4 linked regions of the Drosophila melanogaster genome follow. The protein of the gene in region 3 interacts with the protein of the main gene of each other region in a pairwise test. Each region holds a gene or a part of one and is shown on either strand. Other genes may lie near its edges.

Region 1 (7,246 bases), on a different chromosome or scaffold from region 3:
ATTTCGCTGGACCTCACGGACAATGTGAACGCGCAGAACGAGAGCGAAACGGTGTTCCTGAAGATCGAGGCCAATTTCCGCGAGGGCCAAATCATCCGCAGCATGTTCCAGCCGGGCGGGGGATGGCAGCAGGAGGAGATCTCGAAGAACTGGAAGTGCGACGGCCCAAAGAACCCGCTGCAGCCTGGCCAGAGCTTCACCTTCCGGGTGGCGGTGCTGCAGCGATGCTTCGAGATCTACGTGAACGACCAGCTGTACGGGTCCTTCGAGTTCGTCAAGTTCCCCAAGCAAATCAACTACGTGCGCACCTACGGCGACTTCGAGAAGATCACCCAGTTCCACCACCGCATGCTCTTTCCGCTCGTCTTCCCCAGAACGCTCATGTGTCCGGACAAGGTGGCCTTCCAGAGCGACGTGCCCAGGCGGTATGAAACCGGCACAGTGGTGGCCATGGAGTGCATCGCCAAGGGCCCGCCGACCACGGAGTTCTCCATCTGCTTCCAGTGCAACGACACCGGGCGTACGGTGCTCCGGTTCCACGTGAACTTCGATCGGACAACCGTGTCACGCAGCTACCAGCGTGAAGACAACAGGTATAAAGGAGTCCGAGACTCCAATATGCAAAGTTCCTCCAAGAGAATTCACCTTTACTCACTTATTCTAGTTTTGCCTTGAGCGACGAGGAGACCGAGGGCGAATTCCCATTTGTGCGCGGAAAGCTCTTCAAGATCGCTTTTGGGCTCGGGGATCGGGCTTTCCTGATCGCCGTCAACGGGCAGTACTTCACCTACTACAACTTTCCCGGACGCCCCTTCTCCATATCCACTCTGAAGTGCTTCACCAACGAAGTGGGCGACTTCGCCGTGCGGAGCCTGGAGTACCACTCCGATTCTCCGCTTCTGGCCCGCGTGGAGAAGTTGTCCATCATTTAATCGATTCGAGTTCTCGTAGTATGCTCTTTGTTCAATCGTTGGCTTTGATCACCGTACAGCACCAGTTAACTTCTTCTTGTGAGCATCCAAATAAAGCAAAGCAGCTCTCCAAACTACAATCTCCTCAATAATCATCAACCAATAGGCAGGTTCCTTTGGATATAATTTTATTAAAACAAATTATTGCCGTCGCCTCCCCTTTTCGCCTGGATGAGCATCAGCTTAAGCATCCGCCTCAGCAGGAGCCACGTGCTGCTCAACAGCTCCCGTCTGGAGCTCCACTTAGGTTAGTCTTAAGGTTAGTTCTGGTTTGCACACTCCTGCGAGCGAGTGCAAGGTATTGGAGCCAATCCGATCGCTAGTGACCAGGACTAGCATCCTAGACGGAACTGCTGATGTCTGTCTCTCTATAACGCTAGATCCTCACTACGGAATATGTGTATATGTATATGGTGATCGCATCTCGATCCTAGAAGTAGCGGAACTCGCCCTTCTTGCCCAGATGCTTGCTGCGCATCATGTCGGTGGGATCCGGCGATCGCTGTTCCATGCCGGGATTATCCTGGGTAATGTAGAGCGGTTAGCAAGTCCCATCATGAATTGAGTGACCAGCCTTACTCACCCCTGATCGCGATTTGTTGCCCGGACCTGTGGGACCCGTCGGTGGCTGCTGCTGTTGCCCGTAGAACTGGGCTCCATCTCCATCCCCGAAATTGAAGGGGGTTACAATCGTGTGCGGCACGTGGGCCACCTGACCCCGCATGTTGCGCGCCTTCCACCACTTTCGGGTATCATCAAGGATCTAAAGTTTCGAAGAGATGGTTATAGGACAGAACGAAGGATGGTAACGTGGGTGCTGGCCTTACCTCCAAGTATTCGCCTCGCATCACGCTAAGCTCCTTGTCGTTGTTGGCGGTTCGCGGATAGGTGACCAGCACAATCTTAGCGCCCGTCGCCTGCAGATCCTCCAGCCAGGACTCGAGCATCTGGTCGTCGCTGACATTCGGCAGGCCTCTGCCTCCACCGCCCAACTCCGACGAAGGCCCCGGACCAGCTCCTGCTCCGTACCCGTTTCCACTGCGAGATTCCCTCGTATGCAGATTCTGCAGACCAGCTGTGATGGCGCTAAGGGTTGGTCCAGCTCCTGGTCCGTGGCCATGACCATGGCCATGTCCCGCTGCTCCGCCGCCCCTGCCTTCGATCGAGTCGAACGACAGCTCGCTGCGGGCGTTAAAGTCAGACGCACTGATTGCGCCCGCCCGCTCTCTGTCGCGCTCCCTTTCCCGCTCCCTTAAACCGTCGTTGCCGTGGTGGATGGTGTACTTCTCGATACCCATGGCCATGTTCATCCCGTTCCCCGAGTCGTAGTCATCGTATCCGCCTCCCCCACGACCATTTAGTCCGGATCCAGCCTGGACCTCGAGTCTGCGCTTGCTCACATGAGCGGGCGGGGAATTTGGTGGTGGCTCCAGTTCATCGTTGATCAAATAGTCCGGTGACCAGCCATCGAGGAAGACCGGATGGTAGGATCCAACGTCATCCTTCCACTGATCTCGCGGGATCACCCAGGCATCGCCCAACGAGCGCCACAGCTCCGTTTCCTTGCTGGTTACACAGTTGATGAGCAGGTTGATGGCCTCTCTGGTCAGCAGGGGATTAACCACACGGGCCGGTAGCTGTGACTCGTAGTACGTGTCGCTGGAGGCCTCCACAATCAGAGCCAGCGGCGTGAAGAGGAAATGCACCAGTTCGGGAGCGTTGGGATCGTGGATGTGCGCCTTCAACTTTGCCAGCAGGTTAAATGACAGCTTAAACTTGGCAAAGATGTCCACGAACTCCTTCTCGTGGGGAGGCCGTGTCCTCAAAGTGAGCAATCCCTCCCCCGGATCCCTTTTCTTCGACTTCCGATTGCGACGACGGCGCTCGAGCTCCCGGGAAGCGGCGGCGGCGTGCTGAAGACGAGCTATGAACTTCTCGATGTCATCGAAACAGTGATTCAGCACAGCCACATCCCGCTCGTACTTCTCGCTGGACGTGGAGCTAGTCTCATCGCGCTCCGTTGCGCCACCGCCCCCAATCCCACCGTGTTCCGAATCCGTCTCGCCACTAATGTGGGCAACGTCATCGCCAGAAACTCCTACTCCGGCACGGATTCCATACTGTTCCATGCTGCTCCTTTGGTGCATGTGATGGTGGCTTTCGCGCTCACGGTCTCGATCACGCTCCCTCTCGCGCTCTGCCCGCTGCTCCCTGTGCTGGTGCAGCTCCACTCTACTATGCGACGAGGACGAGGAGGTTTTGCTCATCATCATGGCCATGCTGGAGGCTCCTCCGCCTCCTGATTGAGTGGGTGTGGCACCGCGCTGCTGCGTTATCATCTTGCCGCTTCTCAGCTGCTTCAGATCCTCAACCAGGTGAACGGCGGACACACTTTGTGACTGCAGGGATAAATCATTTGAATGAAACTGTCATGAGACAGAAGCCTCACTAATTCTCACCTGGAATATGTGCATCTCGGAGCGAGAACCACCGCCTCCGGATACGATAAAGACCAGAATGTTGTTGTATAGCTCCATGGCGTCATTCGAGGTGAATGCGGTGGGCTCCTGAACCAAGGAGGCGGGGAATCTTTCGATTATGTTCTGTAAGGCAAGGATGAAGATGAGTTCCATAAGGATCTTTCCCAGTTTGTGAAACGTACCCCTGTTTCATAGTCCATAATTAGCACCCACTGATAGTCCAGGCAGAGCTGCATCTTCTGCGACCAAATACCCGTGGTCTTCTCCAGCTGAAGGAGGCGACGCATTCCGTCCGCCGGATACACAATGCCGGACTCCTTGTTGACCGTGAAGGTGGCCAGGTGTTCCAGCAGGTAGGTGGGCTTGTCGTGCAAGTCACTCTCCAGACGCTCCCGCTCCTCGCCGCCTCCGCTGCGATCGTCTCCGGAATAGTCTCCTCCTCCGCCGCCGCCTCCATGGGCACCGCCTCCTCTTAGGCTTCCGCTACTGTTTCCAGCACTGCCGCCTCCGTTCGAGTGGTGGTTCACCATGGTGTCTCCCAATCCCGGTACAGGCTTCGATCGACGTCTGAAGCTCCGTCTAAAAATAAAATTTTTTCACATCATCATCATCGTCAACAATTTTGTATATCGGTCTTTGATTCGTTTAAAATATAAGTTACCGTTTAAATGATGAACTTAGTAGCTTAAACATTGATTAAAAGTTTTGATCGTTACCAACTTATACTTTTGCTTCTTAGGTCGAGTTGAACTATCGTCATTTGAAAATAATATTTAGAATTATGTGTATGCTTTTAATAATCCCATTTAATCGCTTATTCCAATGACTAAAACATTATATCGTGACTGCTGTCGAAAAACATGTTTAACTTGATTAGAATAGTATTCCCAAAACTAAATTTCCTATTGGCAGGGGTGTGGTTAAGCCCCTTGGAAGTCTGGTTCCCAATTTGGTCTCTCAAGACCTTAAAGCCTCCGCTGACCGAGTCTTCGAGCTGAAATCTTATGAGTGTCGAATACGAAAATTGGTCCTAAAGTATGTGTTAGATCATTATGCTGTGTTTATTTTGTGCAGCTGAGACTAAGTCCCTCTGCATCCGAAGGCCCCTAATCCCGCCAAGCCACTTGGATATTGCGCAGCCAATCGTCTCTGACTCAGACCGCATTCCGATTCCAAGCCTCCACTAGCGTTGGCATACACACTCCAAGCGATCCGCACATGGCCGCAATTATTCTCAAACTTTAACATTTCGTTGTTGGCTTGGATCAGCATTGGAATTCAAAAATCGCGCTACTTCCACTTCCCCAGGTTCTCCTCTAAGCTCGGTGTCTCCACTTTGACTACACAGAGAATATCTTTGGATAGTTTACTTCCGATTATATTCATCTTATTTGTATTAACAGCAGCAAATTGTATTGCATTGTAGATGTAATAGAGAGTAATTGTAGAGTAATAGCTCTTATCTTCAAAAATTAGGCCAACTATGGTTCTATGTCACAGTAACATTCTTTTCAACACTCGGATAAATCTCTCTTATTTTTTCTGTGTAGCCAGTGAACACACCTGCAAAAGACACACACACACACGTAAAACTGAGATTTGCAAACACACTTTCTCGCTCCCTCTCGCTCTAACCCTCGCAGACTCTATCCAAACCGCTCCCTCGACTCAAGTGACAGCAACAACTTTTCCGCTGTTTTAGGCTGGGCTCAGACGCCGACTGCGACGCGGGCAGCGGTGTCGCATACCTATCTACACTAAGCAAAAATCGCTACTGTTTTTATAAAGATATTGAAAATCATTATAATAATCCTATGGCGAGAAAGTCTCTAGAATGTAGTTCTAACCATTTTTAAATGTTAACAACATTTTCCATGATAGAAACACCCCCAAGTTTGTCGATTGTTTTCAGTGTATCAATCCAGCAGTGTCGCAGGGTCAATGGACAGGGGAAAGGGGGTGTTGGGTGCTTGTGTACTTGCAAACAGGTGAAAGAGAAACTGCAGAGGGGGTCAGCTGGAGGCACTATCTGCTTACGATCTTGTACAAGCCAAAATCGCAGTAAACAAACAAGCGAAGTGCACGTAAAAAAGAAAACACTGACCCACTACACCCCTGGAAATGTTTTGTTTTCGTTAAGTTGCGCCGCTGTGTTATATTTCAGCGTTTTACTGTTCGTACAAGCCCCAAATTGCATCACACTTGTGGAATTTGACAGATTTGTGTTTTCGCTCCTAACTCTACAGCAGCTTAGAGGCCAATGACGAAACGCGATAAACATTATCGCACTTGGGTAACATGGAAATAGTTGGGCTTGCATAAATCATGCTTTAGAGAAAGTACTAAAGCTGCTGGGTGATTTGAAGTTAAGTTAAGTCATCATAAACATCTACAAAAACATTATGCTAAATGAAATACATATATGTTTATAATATAAGTATTACTACTTTTGTACTTCTATAATCTTGAAATATTTGCAATCCACACATATGTATCTATGCATCTGTAAATAGGGGAAAATTATAAGCCTCGGTAAGGCAATCTAAGATACATAACTGCACTGGTATCTAAGAACTCCCCGACAAGAACCATAAACCTGGAGACATGCCCCAAGCATAGCTTCCATTCAGGTGAAGATAATTAATTGGGTCCTGATAAGCGTGAGATGGGGTGTTAGAGCCTCAAATAATTCAGACAGCTGGGATTTAGATAAAACGGCGGCGTGCGGTACACTTGCTTTTTTATTTTATCTCGCATACTTTTTGGTTTACGAAGCAAATGGCAAAACAACAAATGACAATAGTTGTTTTTGCTGTTCTTTGGGTGGAAACCCGCTCGTTAGATGGTGGTGGGCTGGAGGGGGGTGGAGAGACATCGACACCCCGATCCACACTATTGTCGTCCCCCTCGCGCGCATGCGTGGCAGATAAGCTGACGTCTTTGCTTGCGCTGGTGTGTGCGGCTTGAAAAGGTATTTGTCTCCGTGTCTCGAGCCCCCCGGCACCCGCCACCCCCTCGCCTGTTGCTGCAACTTTAGTTTTTGACCGACCGCATTTTTTAAGCTTTCTTTTCCACCTGTTTTCCGTTTTCCTCTCTCACTGTGCGCTGTTTATATTCCACGAGCCTCTCTCAGACACACACACACACGTCGCCTATAAGCCGCACTCACACAGGTGAGGCTTCACAGTAATGTGCGAGCGCGGATATACAGTGGACCCTCAAATAAGTAATCTAATTGAAAATAACATCCTTGAAGCTCTTTAGGCAATTATTTAAATTAATAATCTAACCAATTTCAAATGATTGAACTTAGTATATGTTCCAGATTTCCCGCAATCGAGTATTACTTCACCGACGCATTACTGTATGTACAAAAGTGGGAGCGGCGGCAGGTTTCGTATTGATTTTCAATGCTTTGTTCAATTCATTCACTAATTCACAGACACAGGCTCAATTCGCTGTATGTATTATTCTAATTGACCGCATTTTCCGGTGAAATGTGTGATATTCATATGTATGTGTATACACTCCCTTCGCACACACACGCACAACACACAGGTATCGATATCACGTTAGCATTTCGATATCATCCTCTCACCTAGCAGCACATTCTTTTTCTAATTAGCACGAATAATCCAAGTCTCTGTCACGTTTGCTTGGCATTTCAACTGGCTTTCGGGCTTATTTTCGGGTTTAGCTTCGGTTTTAGGCGTTACAACTGCGATCACTCGAGCATTGTTTCAATTTTAATTCAAACATTAAAAGTAACTGTAGTCCAGCACTTAATCCTCTCTT
Region 2 (5,020 bases), 380 kb from region 3:
TGACTCCGATCGGTCAGCTGCACTGACCCCACAGTTGGGCTTTTATAACTCGGAGCGACGAGAATGACATGATAGGCTGGAGCAGCACGGGCTCGACCTTTGCACTGAACGTAACTGCGATATGTGGTTGGCGGATCCCAGCGCACAACCAAATTGCACTTGGGCACATCGATGCCCTCTTCCAGCACCGAAGTACCGATCAGGACATTGCAGTCATGCATGCGGAAGCGCTTTAGCACCTCTTCCTGCCGCCGGTGCTCCAACTCAGCCTCTTTGGGCTCCGTGGTGGGATCTGCCACCCGGTCCGTGGTGTACTGGCAGCGTAGGAACTTGAGATCGGGATCACGTCTGCTAATCTCCGCTAGAAGCTCAAAGAGCACGCGAGCCGTGTGGTTCTGGTTGCAGTAAATCAGTGCGCAGAGCGTGTCGCTGCCATCATTGTGATCCCGGTGGTGGCGCCTGGTGTACACACGTCTACGAGTTCGTGGTTGTGCAGTGTTGGCACCAGAGCTAGGTTTCGGCTTCGCATGAGCGGGAGTAGGAGTAGGAGTCACCCGAGCGGCGCTTCTGTTCGTCTGCCTGTCCTCTGTCGTGTGCAGAATCTGCTCAAGAGTGGCCACCAGGGCTCGTGTCTCCGTCGGCGGTTGGTCCATTTGATCCACCATTCGGCACTTGCTTTCCAGCGTATGAGATAACCGATTGAAGTCCGCCTGATCCACCTGATGCCGCATTCTGCGCAGTCCGTCCGCTTGGGTGTGCACCTCTTCCGGCTTGAAGCACCTCAGTGTCTGCAACAGACGTCGCACCTTGGGGCTGGAATAGCGTTCGATGGTCTGGCGTGAATCGCTGCCACTTCCTAAATGTCGATGGAATGCGTGTTCGCAGAGGGAGTACAGTTGGATAAGGGCCGTGCTCACTAGGCAGTACAGCAAGTAGTGACGTTCGTGCGGCGTCTTCACCTTTAACTTCTCATTGCATTGGTAAAAGTGATGTGCAGCCCGCTGCGTGCACCAAGGACCCATCTCGTGCAGCACGACCAGTAGTGAGTTGATGACGTTCAGGGGGTCCACCTTGGGATCGGGTATGTCTTTCAGTTCGTCCATAAACTGGTCTGTGCCGTAGATTTCGTAGGGATCGTAGCGGTGGTCCAATAAAAAGGACTTGTGTGTGTTGAGCACATCGGCAAGCACCAGGGACAGTTCGTCCATCTCGAAGGGGGCGCACTGTACGATGTATTCGTGCGGTCGGGAACAGTAACGCAACACGGTGACAATATCACTGGCCGTCTCGATCTGGCAAAGCACACTCTGCTCCAGGGTGGCCAGCATGGCGCTCAGTTGCTGCAGCTCACATCCGGCGCTGTGCAGCGGTCCAGCGAGTCCGAGAATCCGTGGCCTGTCCGCCGGTGGCGCTGGCATAATGTGATTCTCGAACAGAGGCCTTATCCTCTGATAAACGGCGCTGTCATGACAATCTTCCAGCACGATCAGTTCGACGCTGCTCAGCAGCAGCTCGCGAGTTTCGAGCAGATAAAGAAATCCCTCTGGCCGTAGGATGGAAACGTGATAGTCCGTCCAGCAATGATCAAAGGGAATTTGCATATCCGGCTGCTCCTGCCACACCCGCAGGTCAGTCAAGTGGGTGAGCATCGTGTAGATGGAGCATGGTTCCGTGCTGGTGCCAACCTCGCAACTGAGATAGACACTGACACGACCATGTCGGCGTGCTCGACGCGACAGCTCCTGGAGCAGCTTGAGGGCTATAAACTCCTTGGAACTTCGATGGCCCAGGCAAATAATCGTGTTCCGCTCGTAGGCGGTGGCCAGTAGCTCCACCTGAAAGTCGCGCGGCGTGAACACGGTGGTGTGCAGATTGTTGTCGCACCAGTGGAACGCCATCGTGGCTGAGGGGATTCACAAAAACACCACTGCCTCTGCGAGATTTCTATCAGAAAATCATCCAGAGCCGGCTACCAGCAGAATGCCAGTGTGACCAGGGTTCGGAATACCTTTCGAGGTTCACTTCATTGGCCACACTTACAAGTGGCTTGAAAATAGATTGCGCCTTGTATATTTATATTTTGTTGATAGCAAAAGTTTTTAAATTAACTTATGTATTTACGGTGAACTATACCCGGTAATCCTCTTCTTTAGCACCATAAAGCGGCGTTCCAAAGCTCCTTCCATGCGCCGCGCTGCAAAGCGAGAGAGCGAAGCGGCGCCTCCCAAAGAGGAACCACAGTCACCCTGCTCCTGGCCCAAAAACAATCTACCCAGCGAATGGGGCACCTCAGGGGGCACCCAAAGCCTGGGACCTCGAGAATTCAGGGCGGGCGAGAATCCCCTCAAAGATAGCCGCATCTTCCATGTGCTCTGGCGTAATCAGACCACCAAAAAGCACAAAACGTGGACTGGCAACGGAACGCTGGTGGTCACGGGATCCATAGTAACATTGAAGGATGACACCGGCAAGGTTGTGGACACCATGACATACTTTAAGCAGCGGCAACTTCAGGAGAACGATCAGCTGGAAGTAGGCAGCAAGGATGTCGAGATTCAGGAGGAGATTAAAACCGTCGAGGAGTGCCTTATTCAGCGCCAGTTGGAAATAGCCAACTGGTGCCAAAAAATAGATGCCCAGAATGGTTGTACAGACACATCGCCACCACCTGCTGACAGTGCACCCGTTAGGTCTCATCTGCTCAAGAAGATCAAGCGCGAGGCAGATGCCTTTGCTCCACCGCATTTGGAAATTAGCCAACATAGAGAAGATAAACATGTCTCCTATGCAGCCGCCGATTCCAGCACTTCGATGGGAAAGAAAATCTATGAACAAAACACTTTGAAGATAGAAAACCCTACCAAGGAGTTCACCCAATCGGAATATCTGTGTCTATTAACTCCAGCTGAACTGCAGAAAAAAATATTACTCTTTGTTTCTGAATATGCACAAACATCTAAAACAGTAAGATAGATTTAGACCAATTTACATGCATAAACAAATCAAAAAACTTGTATTTCAGGAATCGTCTACGTTGAAGGAAATCTTCCAAATTGTATGTGATCATCCTGTGCTCCTAAAAACTTTGGGTACGAATCCAGTGTTTAAGGAAATAATGGAGGTACTGGACGCCATACTGCCGCCTTGGCCAAGCATGGGACTTTACGACTCCGCCAAGTTCGAGTTTCTACACGTAATGCTGGATCACTTAGTGGCGGAGCGAGGCGAGAAGTGCTGCATCTTGGCAAACAGTGAGGATTGCCTCACCCTGGTCAGGGGATACTGTCAGAGTTATAGTTTGGACCATGCGCAGCTAGATGGTCCCCAAAAAGTGAACTTATTTAATTCTCTTGCCGATGGAGAACCAATGATTGGCTTGATTTTGACCAGTGACTTGTCGGCGCTTCGAGCTCTTCGCTGCAAACACCTAATTATTTATAATCACAATTCCAGGCAGCAAGCCAACCAACTGCTGGCCGTTGGAGCAATGGATACCAAAATATATACTCTCATCACAGCCGGAGGTTCTCCGGAGGAGTTGCAGTTCTATGGGCATATGGGTGATGATTCTATAGAAGATCTTCAGAATTGCCGCAGCCAGCTTATACCGACCGCATCTAATGTGAGTACTTCGAATTCTTATCATATTAATAAATCACCTATTGCATTGATAACCTATAGAATCTAGCGGACTGGACCAAAAGTGAGCCACCTTTTGACCGTGTTTTCTTTGAGGTGAGATTTGTATTACATTTTACTAACTTAAATTGCGTAAATCAATGTGACCTTACAGGAAACTGCTATATCGGATAGTCTGGATTGTATTCAACTGGTTTATTCAAGAAAAGTGAGAGTAAAAACTTAAACAAACAAAACGTTAACTTCAAGAATATAAATGTAAACAAAATTATTTTGTTGAACTAAATGCTTAGCAGTTGAGTTAACCTGGAAGATTTGTGCTTTTTTTTGGCCATAATTAGTTCTGAACTATTTCGCGGAATCAACCTTTTGAGAACTTAGTCCAAACTTAAGAACTCCTGCAGTTTTTCAATGCGAGTGGAGTAGCTATTTGTTTCCTCGTCGAAAGTGATTTCGCTGCAGGTGATAACGGACCCAATGGGATAATTTTTATCCAGCCATTTGATCTGCTCATCGGTGGGCTTCTCAGGCACTCCTACGAAAATCGAGTCATATAAATAATATAATTATCTTTGGAGAGCCTAATTACCAATTAAATCCAACTGTGTGGTCATTATAGGGAAGATAAACTGCGGCGGATAGGGACGTATGTCGGTGACATGTGTTGGCACTATGTTTCCGTAGTCAATGAACAAAATGCTGGGATAACCATCTCCTACTAACTCCACAGAGAGACCTCGACGCCATTTGCCTTCGTACTTAGCTATGCAAAGCTCATTTATCCTAAATGAAAGAGCGCTTTAGTTAAATGGACAAAAGAAAACGGCGAGTAACTTTACGGCGGTGCGTAGGTTGCGCACTTGGCAATCTTTTCACCATACTCCTGTATGTCTCGCTGCATTTTGGTGACTTCGTAAGCCAGATCTATGGAGGTGCAGTAGATAAAGCCGCACTGGATGAATGTGTTGTCCATTACCACTACATTTATGTTCTTTCCGCAGTGCAAGGGAATGTATGGAAGACACTGAAACCGAATAAATGCAAATGACAACTGTGTACTTGATGTTTTTTTAAGTTCTGGCTTACGTCCTCTTTGTATCCCAAGTCCGAGACAGACGGCTCAACAGGAGTTAGGATGGTCTTGAAAAGGCGGTTGAGGCTCCTATTAATATCGATCTCGGTCATCACCACGACCTGCATGCCCTTGCTGGTATCGTACTCACGTGACGAGTACTTGATATTAAAAACTAGGGACTGGTCGAGTTCGTACATGACTTCCCTTATGTTGGGACCCACAAAGCGCCTGGGAACTCCGCGTAATTTAACGGCTACGGGATAGCAGGTCAAACCAGCTAAATACGAACTGCATTCATACAGTCTT
Region 3 (6,149 bases):
CGGAGGAGGAGGAGAGCGACGATGGCGGCGATTCCAACACGGACAGCGGCCAGGAGAGTCTGACGGCCAAGAAGAAAAAGAAGCGGCGCATGGCTGGCGGCGGCTCCGGGTCCGGCTCCATGGGCGGATCATCGCGTTCCTGATCCAGGGAGCGGGCCAAGCGCAAGGGCTTGCTCATGCGCCTCTTTCAACGCCAACTGATGCTGCTGAGAGGACTGCCCCGCCGCTGCCGGCTCAGTTAGCACTGAGGTCGCGATCATACTCTGCAGAGTTTTGTGTATTTTTCTACTTGGACCAGCATGTTTGCAGCTCCTGGATCCCGTGCTCGCCCTCATCGAATGCCTGCTCCCTGATTTCAATAGATGCTCCGGACGTGACTCATTAGCGTAAACCCTAAATGCAAATAAATAAATGAATCCAATATGTTTGTACATCGCTGGGTTTCATTCAAGCTCGGCACATAAATCCAATGCAAAACAACAATAGTCACCAATTTATGTATTTTACAAAATTACTTTTCTCCGTTTTATTTAGAATTCTGTCTGCAAACAAAAATGCTTTTTTATATAAATTGCTTTCCCTTTCGTATTGTATAAAAGAAACAAAGTACATCGATGACATGCAACTTAAAATTTTTAGCTAAACTAAGGTGTACCATTTATCGGAGGTCGAATCCTTATAGGGATGTACATAATGTTTTGCGGCCAAAGTAAACTATTTAGGAAATCAATAGCGACATTTACAATTCATAAACTTGAAATAAAGGTAGGTGGCTACATTTTATTGGCGAAACAGCGTTCGTTGAAAGCACATGCTCTTAAATAAATCACCTTTAATTTGCTATAATTTGTTACTCATAATTATTATTAAAAGTTTCCCTTGCGCACTCCGCGCATCCTTCAGCTCCTTACAATGTATCCCGATGTTCCAGATAGAAAAGTTGTCTTCACTTTGATGTTGTGTTCTGTTTTTCCCGCGATTTCTTGTGTGTTACAGATGTACATTGTATGGTTTTCTGTTTTTTTTTTTTTATTATTATGAAATATTTGTAATTGTTTTGTATAAATTAGAAATTGCGCACGCAGCTTCGTTTTGCTTAAGGTCTGACGGTTTGAATTGGGCTGGGTTCACATCCCTTGGGTTCTGTTCTTTCTGCGGTCTCTAATCATTTTTGGAAATTTTGTAGCCAAGTTTTCGGTTTTGAGTGTTGAGTGGTGTTCTTGAAAATATGGTGCTGGTGGTGGTTGCTAATGCTGACTTAATCGATATACTGCGCCAGCCAACGGAAACCCTCGCCGTAGCCCTGTCGCTTCAGCACGGAGCACATGAACAATTCCAGAGGACGGCCGGGCAAATCGGCGCGTGCAACTTTGCCCTGCAAGTCAAATGGATATCAATTATGTAGCAGGAGTAAGGAGGGAGGGAGGGAGGGAGGTGGTTTTGGTGCTCACCTTGCCGGTTGTTAGCTGATACAGTCCGAACACGTTTCTCAGCTCATCCTCGCTAGCCGCGCCGGGCTTATCGATTTTGTTGCCCAATATGAGCACGGGGCAGTTGGACAGCGCCTCATCCGTGAGCAGCGAATCCAGCTCGTTTTTGCTCTCCTGGAAGCGGCCACGGTCCCAGGCGTCTATTAAGAAAACGATGGCGTCCACAGCAGGGAAGTAGTCCTTCCAGACGCGTCGTGCTGCAGAAATAAGTAGATATGTCTCATAAATACAAAAGCAGCAGTTAGTCTTTAGATGGGTTAGTCTTCCGATTTTTGAATCAAGATTTGCAAGGGCACCTTAGTAGTCGCTGCTGTTGACCAACAATCTGTAATTTATATAACATCGCTAGAATAACAAAGCGCAAGTCACTGATATCAGGCACAAATCTGATATCTTTCCGCCGCTAAGAACCTTTCTACTTTAGTGTACCTAGTAGTTCCGAAGCGAAAACGATCGTCACGATGACGAGCTGCCTTAAAATGAGTGCTAGAGCTTCGTTATCAAAACAACTGGATTTCACGATGTTTGATCACTTTTCATAATGTTCATATTTATATACATATATCAACTGCATGTATGCGAGTTTTTCGTTTCTGTTTGTTATCTACATAGAGAATGTTTGCCTTCATAATATTAATAATAAATACGTCGCCTATATGTGCACAGTGGTAAGGAAGATAGTATTTGCGAAAATCAACAAGACACTAATTGCTTTCTAAACATAAATGAACATATTGATTGTATGCAATGGGTTAAATATTCTAGTATTCTGAGGTCTTCATAATCACAGTTGAGATAAGATGATAATTGAGATCTCTGGATGAGCTGCTTGTGACCACTGTGGTGGCATTGCTTCGAGTGTGTGGCGCTGATTGATCGCAACAAATGCTACGAGTGTAAGACGCACTGGCTGTATGGGTGACCTGATGCGCTATATTTCATGCTGATTGTCGTGGATCTGGCGGCTGCGCTTGCTTAGCCCTGCGATATTTGCATACTGGTCTATATTTAGTCGTGGGCACGTACGGAAAATAGCAACGATTTGGATGCACATTCACATTCCCCTGAGCTCTGGTCAAGATTAGGCACTTACCCTGAGTGTGGCCACCCAAGTCGAATGTAGTGAAGCGCATGTTGCCGATGGACAGCTCCTCGGATGCTGCAAGTCAATCATATTAGTTAATTAAAGTCACACACATAACCACTATTTAGTCCATGAAGGAAACTCACTTGGATGCAGTGTGGGCACATGCTGCGCCAGCTTATCATCTTTGAGCATATGCAAGAGTGTGGTTTTGCCAGCATTATCCAGGCCCAGGAACAATAATTTGCCAGACTTTTTCCACAGACCTGAAAACGAGAAAGTGTGTTGAATAGCCTTTTGACTTACGCGTCATCAATTAATATACGCAGCTAAACTAACACTAGTGGCGGCTCACTTGTGTTTGCCCAGCCACAGACAGCCGAATATACATTTGAGGTCGAGACAATAGCTCTTGGACTTCGGGCTAATTATTACCTTTGCTACCCAAAATGTTCGGCTATCATTAACCTGATTAAAGATCAAGCTATAACAAAAATGCGCTTATAACAACTGCTATCAGTTTGGCCTGCACTGTAGAACAGTACTTTTCGTATGGAATAATTTTAACTTTTAGCATTACAAAGCAAATAAAAGTGTAGCAGCCATCTGGAAGCGAGGAAAACCCTATCAAAAATGTCTGCTTAAATAATTGTGGCTGAAGAGTACATGGCTATGCAATCAAAATACCTTTTACAGAAGTGTATATTGTATATGCACCCTAGAGTAATGCATATTCAACGCGCATTTGTTGTGATAGAGAGACCTAATGGAAAGTTATAAGCTTTCGACACCTTATAGACACAGTTTAACCTCTAGATTTCGAGATAATCGCACGTTTAGAGCTATCACCACGACCTCCGCTGTACAGCCGTCGAATTTGGGTTTCTTTTGTGCGGCTGCCTTGTTGGCACTCGTTCAAGAAACGCCGCCCCAAGGCACAAGGTCGGCAATGGCGACGTTGCTTACCCAGGTATCCCAGCACTCCGGTGAACCAGTCCCAGATGAACATCCTGATGGTTTCGTGTGGCTATCGGTTGCGGGTGATTGGCTCCAAGAGCAGCTTGTGTGTGTTTATTGTGGGGGGAAGAGAGCTGCTGGGCTAGACGGCTGCCGGATCGAAAAGAGATATGGCATGGATAATGGGTTAGTGCGCATTTCGACTCAAGTTCAATGTCCAGCCACAGAAACACAATAAGAACAACAGCAGCGGCAGCAACAGCGGCTTGGTGTATAGGAAATCAATTTTACGGCGGCTCAACTTCCGGAACCTTGACACACATACAACAACACGCACACTCGAGCGGCGGGGACCTTGCGGATATAAGGAAGCAAATTCCTCCTGGCGGCGAAACATTCACTTGGGCCCATTATTTAGTTAATTAGGTTAAAACCTGTTCTTTGTCAACTGGGCAGCACTTTCTTTATTTCATTCTTTCTCTGCCTCCTGCCCTCTCGCTCGCTCACTGTCTGTGTGTGTGTGTGAGTGGCACTGGGTGTGCGCGTGTGTGTGCGTGTGCTGCCTGTCTGTGTGCAACTACGTGGTAACATGCATTATATTATACTTTATAATATCATTTCACGTTGGAGCACATTTCGTAATCACACTTTGGACGGCAGGTGCACGCCGATCTAAGCCGCACCCTCGAAAAAAGCATAAAAAGGGCGCAGACATCCGGACTTCCGATTCGAATTCGAATTGAGATTCGGATTTTGCACTACGTGGACGCATTTCGGAATTTAACTGCCCGCGGCTGCGGGTAGCTTGCGTTTGATATGGACTTTTACTTGCGCACTTGCTGTTGCCGCCGCGCGTTCGTATCGGTATTGGCGGCTGGTTACCGTGCGTCTGCTGTGTGTATTAATTGTCAACCTAATTCGCTTTTTCTACCTCACGTTTTTATTGGAGTCAGTTCAGTTTTTTTTAATCATAAGCCCCAGTGTGACCAATAAGCGAAAGCTGTGAAATATCGATGTTTGTTTCGTACCATCGATTTTGGGGGTAGCACGAGTAATCGATGTTTTGGTGGATAACTCTGCTAGAGCGAAGCGAGCCAAATCAAGAGTGGTTGTTGTACTCGCTAGCGATAGCTGTACAGCCCTGGTCTTTTGACTCAATCTGGCAGCCCTACCGCAAGGTGGCAACTCCACTACATGCGCGGGCAATTCCAATTCAAATGAATGAATGTATAAATGCATTCATAATGTTGCCAAACTATTTACACGCATTTAATGTTATATCGATTAGAGAATATGCAAAATATTATAAATGTTTAATTATCGTTTTATTGCATTTTTATGTTATTTGTAATAAGATGTTAATACAGATGTTATCTACAGATAACATCTTAAAGAATATAAAGTGTCGAAACAGTTGCTTGAAATGCAATAATGTAATTTTTTATATTTAAAAATATGTACATTTGTTCTCTTATTACATAGAAGAACATATACAAAATGTACAAATAATATCGTTTTGGGTAAAATGTAATTCTCTTGAAATTCAAACTAAAATTCAATCGACCTTCCGCATCTGCTGCAGGATGATGTCCTCCACCTGGACGCCATCGGGAGTGTTCAGCGCATACAACACGGCCTTGGCCACATCCCTTGCCTGCAGTTTGGGCAGCTCGGCTACCGCCTGCGAGTAAACACTAAGGAAATCCGTGTCTACCATGCCCGGGCAAATGCTCTGCAATGGAGGGATAAAAATGGAGAGGGTAACCAATGAGCAGACGCGTCATGTTTGCCGCATTTCCCGAGGATTAAGATGGAGGATGAGGCGCGCCATGTATGCACTGCATTTAACTTACCGTTAATTTAATATTTAATTTGAGAAAATGTATTTCCTGGCGCACCGTTTGGCAGAGGGCCGTAATTGCATGCTTCGTGGCCGGATAAACGCTGAATAAGGGCACCGGCACTTCCGGAATCCGATGGCCAAGCACGCTGTTGTCAAATGTTGTCCATACACATGTCCAGAGCAGAGCGAAGGAGGAGGCGGAGGAGTAGCATGAGCATCGTCCACATGCCAAGGTATGGCGGTGCGTCGGGGATGGAAAATAAAGACAAAGCGGGGTCACAAACGGCGGGTGTGCGTGGGTAAATAAAGTCAACACAACGGATTTCAAGCACTTAAAACGGCAACAAAAAACAAGTCGCCGTCGAACACCTACGGAAAATGATGGTCAGCAGCTGACGGGACATTTTTGCGTGCATTTTATGCAAACATTGCGTAAACTTCTTTTAATTTTACCCCCACACCTGACGAAAAAGCAAGAAAAGACTTAAAAACTTGTGCTATAATATTTTGATTGAATGCGAAATTTTTGGAAAAATAAGGGAATTATAAGTTACAACTAGTTTTTATATTTGCTACAAGATATTTAATTTAATTAAACTGATATTTTTATGAAGGCATTCATTCGAGTATCCTTTTTTTCGAGTGCATTTGGAAGAGCACGGGGTGGTACTTACGGCTCTGAGCCGGGGGCATTAAATGCAAACAATTGCCAACGTTGCTGCAGATGCTGGGCGGCCGGCATACCCTTGCAGTTTTTAATTAATTAAGTCTTAAT
Region 4 (4,119 bases), on a different chromosome or scaffold from region 3:
AGGGAGCTAGCGCAAATTTTGGCTGTGACAGAACTACTGAATCTCTACCAGTTGCAGCCCTTGGGCGAGGCGAAGGAAGCAACGGAGATCCCAGCACCTGGAGAGGCGCAACCAAATCCAGATCCAGAAAAGAAAGCGGAGGCTGTGTTTGAGAATCGACAAAGTTACTTCAAGGTGGATAATATGTCATTGAGCCACTGCCGTAACTTATATTCGCCTTTTCCTTAAAGCTTAAGAACCCGCGAGCTGTAAAGTCCAGCAGCAAAGTGAACTACTGCATTGGCTGCGACTTCAAGTGCTATCAGGTACAGAAAATGATCGAGCACATGGGCAGCTGTGAGCCCTCCCATTTGATTTGCTCGCTGTGCGAAGTCGGCTTTCTGGACTGGCGGGAATACGACACTCACCTACGACGGCACTCTGGTGATCTGCGTAAGCCCTTCTTTTGCTTACAGTGCGGCATCCGCTTCAACACACGAGCTGCCCTGCTCGTCCATCAGCCTAAGCATTCCACGGAAACGCCGCACATATGTCCACATTGCGGCAAGGGCTTCAAGTGGAAGCAGGGCCTGAGCAATCACATCCTGGTCCACAATCCCGAGAAGCAAATGCTCTGCGACGTCTGCGGCTATAGCACCACGCACATGAAGGCCCTCAAGTCGCACAAACTGCTTCACACCGGAGAATTCTTTGCGTGCACAGTTTCAGGCTGCAAGCATCGAGCCAATCGCAAGGAGAACCTCAAATTGCACATTGAAACTCACAAACAGGGTCGCGATTTTATCTGCGAGGTCTGTGGCTGCAAGTTCAGCCAGAGCAAAAACCTCAAGCGTCACGCCCTCAAGCACACGGAGAATGGTCCGAACCGCTACAAGTGCCAGCTGTGTGGATTCAGCAGTCATCGCTCCGACAAAATGAAGGAGCACGTGCAGCGGGTTCACACAGAGAAACCGGTGCAGTTGGAGCTCTCGGAAACGGTGGACAGTAGCTTTCCCGATGACTTTGAGCTTCCCGTGATCGAAACGTCACCCAAGAAGAAGCCAAAGAGTGTTAAGAGCAAGACTATAAGGAATGTTAATCCTGACAAGCGACTGAAAACACTACTGCCCAAGGAGACTGTAGAATAGGAATAAAACGGAAGGTTACCCCATTCATAACTTCTCAGAGAAAGAGATTTGTGAGGCAAAGGTCAATAGTAAATATTTAGAATAACTATGTTGAAAAGAGACTGTATCAGCAAGTTTAGAACATTTGCTATATTTACAAAATGAGACGTGGGATCTCTCGTTCTGAGTTCTAGTACAACAAAATTGTATCTAGAATATTCACGGAAACCCAGTTTCTTTTTAAAGCCATTAAAAAAGAACCATCGAGAAATCTAAAGATTGATTTGCTACCAACGAATTGTAAATAAAGTGGTATATTGTGGCAGGTTCTTGAAACAACATTGTTGAGGCCGTTCTATCTTATCTAAGATGGTGACTACGATCTATTGCGTCGTTTGAAGACGAACTTTCAGAACGAATACCTGCCAAATGACTAACTAGAGCGATAGTTAGCACCTTATCAACGCCAGAAGGCTATGTATATATGTATGTACGTAACATTTGTTTATATAAAATCCATTAAACCAAAACAAACTGAAAGCTTTTCGCTATTCAGAAATAAACAAATGCGTTGCCTGGTGGGAGGGAAGTGGGTCAACCGATCAGGTTCTAATGCACCAAAATAAATATCCATTATGAGTATATCTTTTGTAAATCAAAAATGTTATTCGAATTATAATTATTGCTAAATTGTTTCTTGTGCCCTAACATTCAAATATTGTTGAGTGTAAAAAAATAAACAAATTTTGAGCAGTGTATCCAGAACATATGATGCATTTAATTCTATATTTATTGGGTGGAGAAACAAATGCAGGGTAAATGCACTTTGATGGTCGTTTGCGGAGGGCCAAGGTGGGTGTGTGTTATGTAACCACTCAGGAACGTGTGTATGCTTAAAAGTTCTTAAATTATTAAAATAAATGAACAAGGCGAAATAATATGTTTGGCGATTTCAGTTTTTTTGTTTACCGCGCACTTTGTAAACAGCAAAAAATTAAATTGCGCAGCAAAAATTGTCAAGGAGGCACTCTCTTGAGCGCAAAAGGGTTGTCAGGCCCAATAACTATGAATTTTAATAACTAAAAATTCTTTTACATAAAAAAGAGCAAATATATTTTGTAAAAGTTCAGTAGAAAGTTATAGAAAAATTAAATATTTTTAGTAACTACACGTAAGCAACAATTAAATGCCCTTCTAGTAGTTTCTTTAGCTAAATCCGGCAACTCTGACGGAGAGAGAGCTTTGGTTACGGAACAGAAAGCTTGCGCGCCTATAAAAGCCGCTGCTCGACCGAAAAAATTCAATTCCGTTCGCAGCTCAGCGAAAAGTGAACAAAAAAAAGCAGAAGAGAAATTTGGAAAGCAGCCTGCAAGTTTGCAGAGAAACAAAAAGCAGACACCAACCAAGAACGCAGTTAGTTTTGCAACCTTAAATCGCCATTATGTCCGAGGCCCACTTCGATGAGTACGAGCACTACAACTTCGACCATGACAAGCACATCTTCTCTGGACACAGCGGCAAGCAGCGCAACAAGAGGGAGGCCAATGAGCACACCAACCACTTCGATCCCTCCGGTCATTCCCGCAAGATTCTGACCAAGCTGATGAACACCAACAACAACAACAAGAAAGCCGCCGCCTGCAAGAACTGATGCAGGGCATCGACGGAGGCGGTGGAACAGGAGAGAAAGAAGTAACGGGGCCGCGCTGAAAGGAGAAAAGAAATCTTCGAATTTAAAAGGAAAGCAAAAGCAAAGGAGAGAAGAAAAAGAAGAACAAGCAGCAGTTTTGCTGGAAGGAAAGAAAGAAAAACAAAAGCCAGCTGGAAATACACATTGCATTTGTATTGTGCATTGGCTTTTCATGCGGCGCTAAACTTTGTGAACATTATAATAATTTTATTTCGCTTATAATTTCACAAACACAAAAAAAGAAAGGCACATACTACTCTTAGCTTCTAATATATTCCTAAACTAATTCAGACTTGCAAGTTTTAGTTGCTAAGCCTTAGAGCGTTTCAAATAATGAAGTTTGACTTAGGTAATACATATAAAATAAAGAGAAAACCAAAACTGAATAGCCTGGTCGTCTTATTTTCATTTGCATTTGCAGCGCACCTTTCCAAGCGAGAGAGCTTTTTGAATGCCGTTGGTGTGCTGTTGTGCATATTTATAGCCTTTTAGTTGAACTCATTTGCACTCAGCTCCTCGATTATCGCAAAAGCAGTTGCAGTCGACTTTTTTCTTTGTTTACAGCGATCGACCAAAAAGAGAACATGTATGAACATATTTATTTGTGTATGTAATGTATGTATGTTAGTTTGCAAACGGAAATATTCCCGAGACCTTCCATTGAAAGTTCACCAGTTACACAGGTAATTAAACTTGCACACACATATTCCTGCATCATTTCTTCCGGTTTAAATTTGCGTGTAAGGTTGCATTTATGAATATTGCGCCGCTTTTATTGACTTTCAATACTAAACGATATTTTTACATTAGGTGTCCAAAATTACAAAAGCTATGTTATTTTCCACTCACAAACAAACAAGCACACGTACAAAAATAAACCGAACAAACTTTTCCAGAAAGGTCCACTCTAATGGAATTCTCTCCTCTCTCTCGCTCTCTCTCTCTCTATAAACGCCATTTGCCGGCTTTTTGAATTGCGTTGTTGATATTTGGTAAACAATAAAACAGACTCTCGATCAGGTGGTTTTGCTATAATGCATATTAATGAAATTGTTCGAACATATTGACAATTAAAATTCCAAGACTCTTATGTATGTTTAAATTCGCATTTTGGTTAGTCATAAATATTCCTTATCTTCATTAAATAGCATTTCGTCTGAATCATTGATCTATCTAAAAATGTGGTGTTCCAAACTTCAAACAAATAGAAGGTGATGAAAAACCTGTTTTTTTATAAAATTAAACATTGCAATATATTGCGTGTTAAAAGTGCCTTAGAATCGGTTTTTTATTTTTATTAAATGTATTTCTAAATTAAAGATT

What was found.
Region 1: the proteins of Sar1 (region 3) and aru interact in a two-hybrid assay, tested with the Drosophila melanogaster proteins (one large-scale study listed by BioGRID).
Region 2: the proteins of Sar1 (region 3) and CG6985 interact in a two-hybrid assay, tested with the Drosophila melanogaster proteins (one large-scale study listed by BioGRID).
Region 4: the proteins of Sar1 (region 3) and CG6770 interact in a two-hybrid assay, tested with the Drosophila melanogaster proteins (one large-scale study listed by BioGRID).

The regions. Positions count from the first base shown.
Region 1 is NT_033779.5:860,765-868,010, forward strand, and holds aru (arouser), read right to left. Parts: upstream 5,098-7,246; 5' UTR 5,063-5,097; intron 4,297-5,062; 5' UTR 4,145-4,296; coding exon 4,113-4,144; intron 4,031-4,112; coding exon 3,634-4,030; intron 3,575-3,633; coding exon 3,431-3,574; intron 3,371-3,430; coding exon 1,799-3,370; intron 1,735-1,798; coding exon 1,555-1,734; intron 1,495-1,554; coding exon 1,402-1,494; 3' UTR 1,085-1,401; downstream 1-1,084. Other genes in the region: CG13950 (uncharacterized protein), read left to right, coding at 1-593, 665-932.
Region 2 is NT_033777.3:22,739,133-22,744,152, forward strand, and holds CG6985 (uncharacterized protein), read left to right. Parts: upstream 1-2,017; 5' UTR 2,018-2,184; coding exon 2,185-2,964; intron 2,965-3,022; coding exon 3,023-3,622; intron 3,623-3,681; coding exon 3,682-3,735; intron 3,736-3,793; coding exon 3,794-3,865; 3' UTR 3,866-3,949; downstream 3,950-5,020. Other genes in the region: Dcr-1 (Dicer-1), read right to left, coding at 1-1,898; vret (vreteno), read right to left, coding at 4,017-4,174, 4,229-4,422, 4,479-4,663, 4,726-5,020.
Region 3 is NT_033777.3:22,355,063-22,361,211, reverse strand, and holds Sar1 (Secretion-associated Ras-related 1), read right to left. Parts: upstream 4,528-6,149; 5' UTR 4,414-4,527; exon of another isoform or gene 4,165-4,413; intron 3,696-4,164; exon of another isoform or gene 3,682-3,695; 5' UTR 3,584-3,681; coding exon 3,541-3,583; intron 2,841-3,540; coding exon 2,721-2,840; intron 2,650-2,720; coding exon 2,584-2,649; intron 1,688-2,583; coding exon 1,452-1,687; intron 1,376-1,451; coding exon 1,259-1,375; 3' UTR 501-1,258; downstream 1-500. Other genes in the region: JMJD6 (jumonji domain containing 6), read left to right, coding at 1-143; rdhB (retinol dehydrogenase B), read right to left, coding at 5,087-5,263, 5,385-5,520.
Region 4 is NT_033779.5:12,044,404-12,048,522, reverse strand, and holds CG6770 (uncharacterized protein), read left to right. Parts: upstream 1-2,404; 5' UTR 2,405-2,547; coding exon 2,548-2,757; 3' UTR 2,758-3,180; downstream 3,181-4,119. Other genes in the region: Plzf (promyelocytic leukemia zinc finger), read left to right, coding at 1-174, 231-1,127.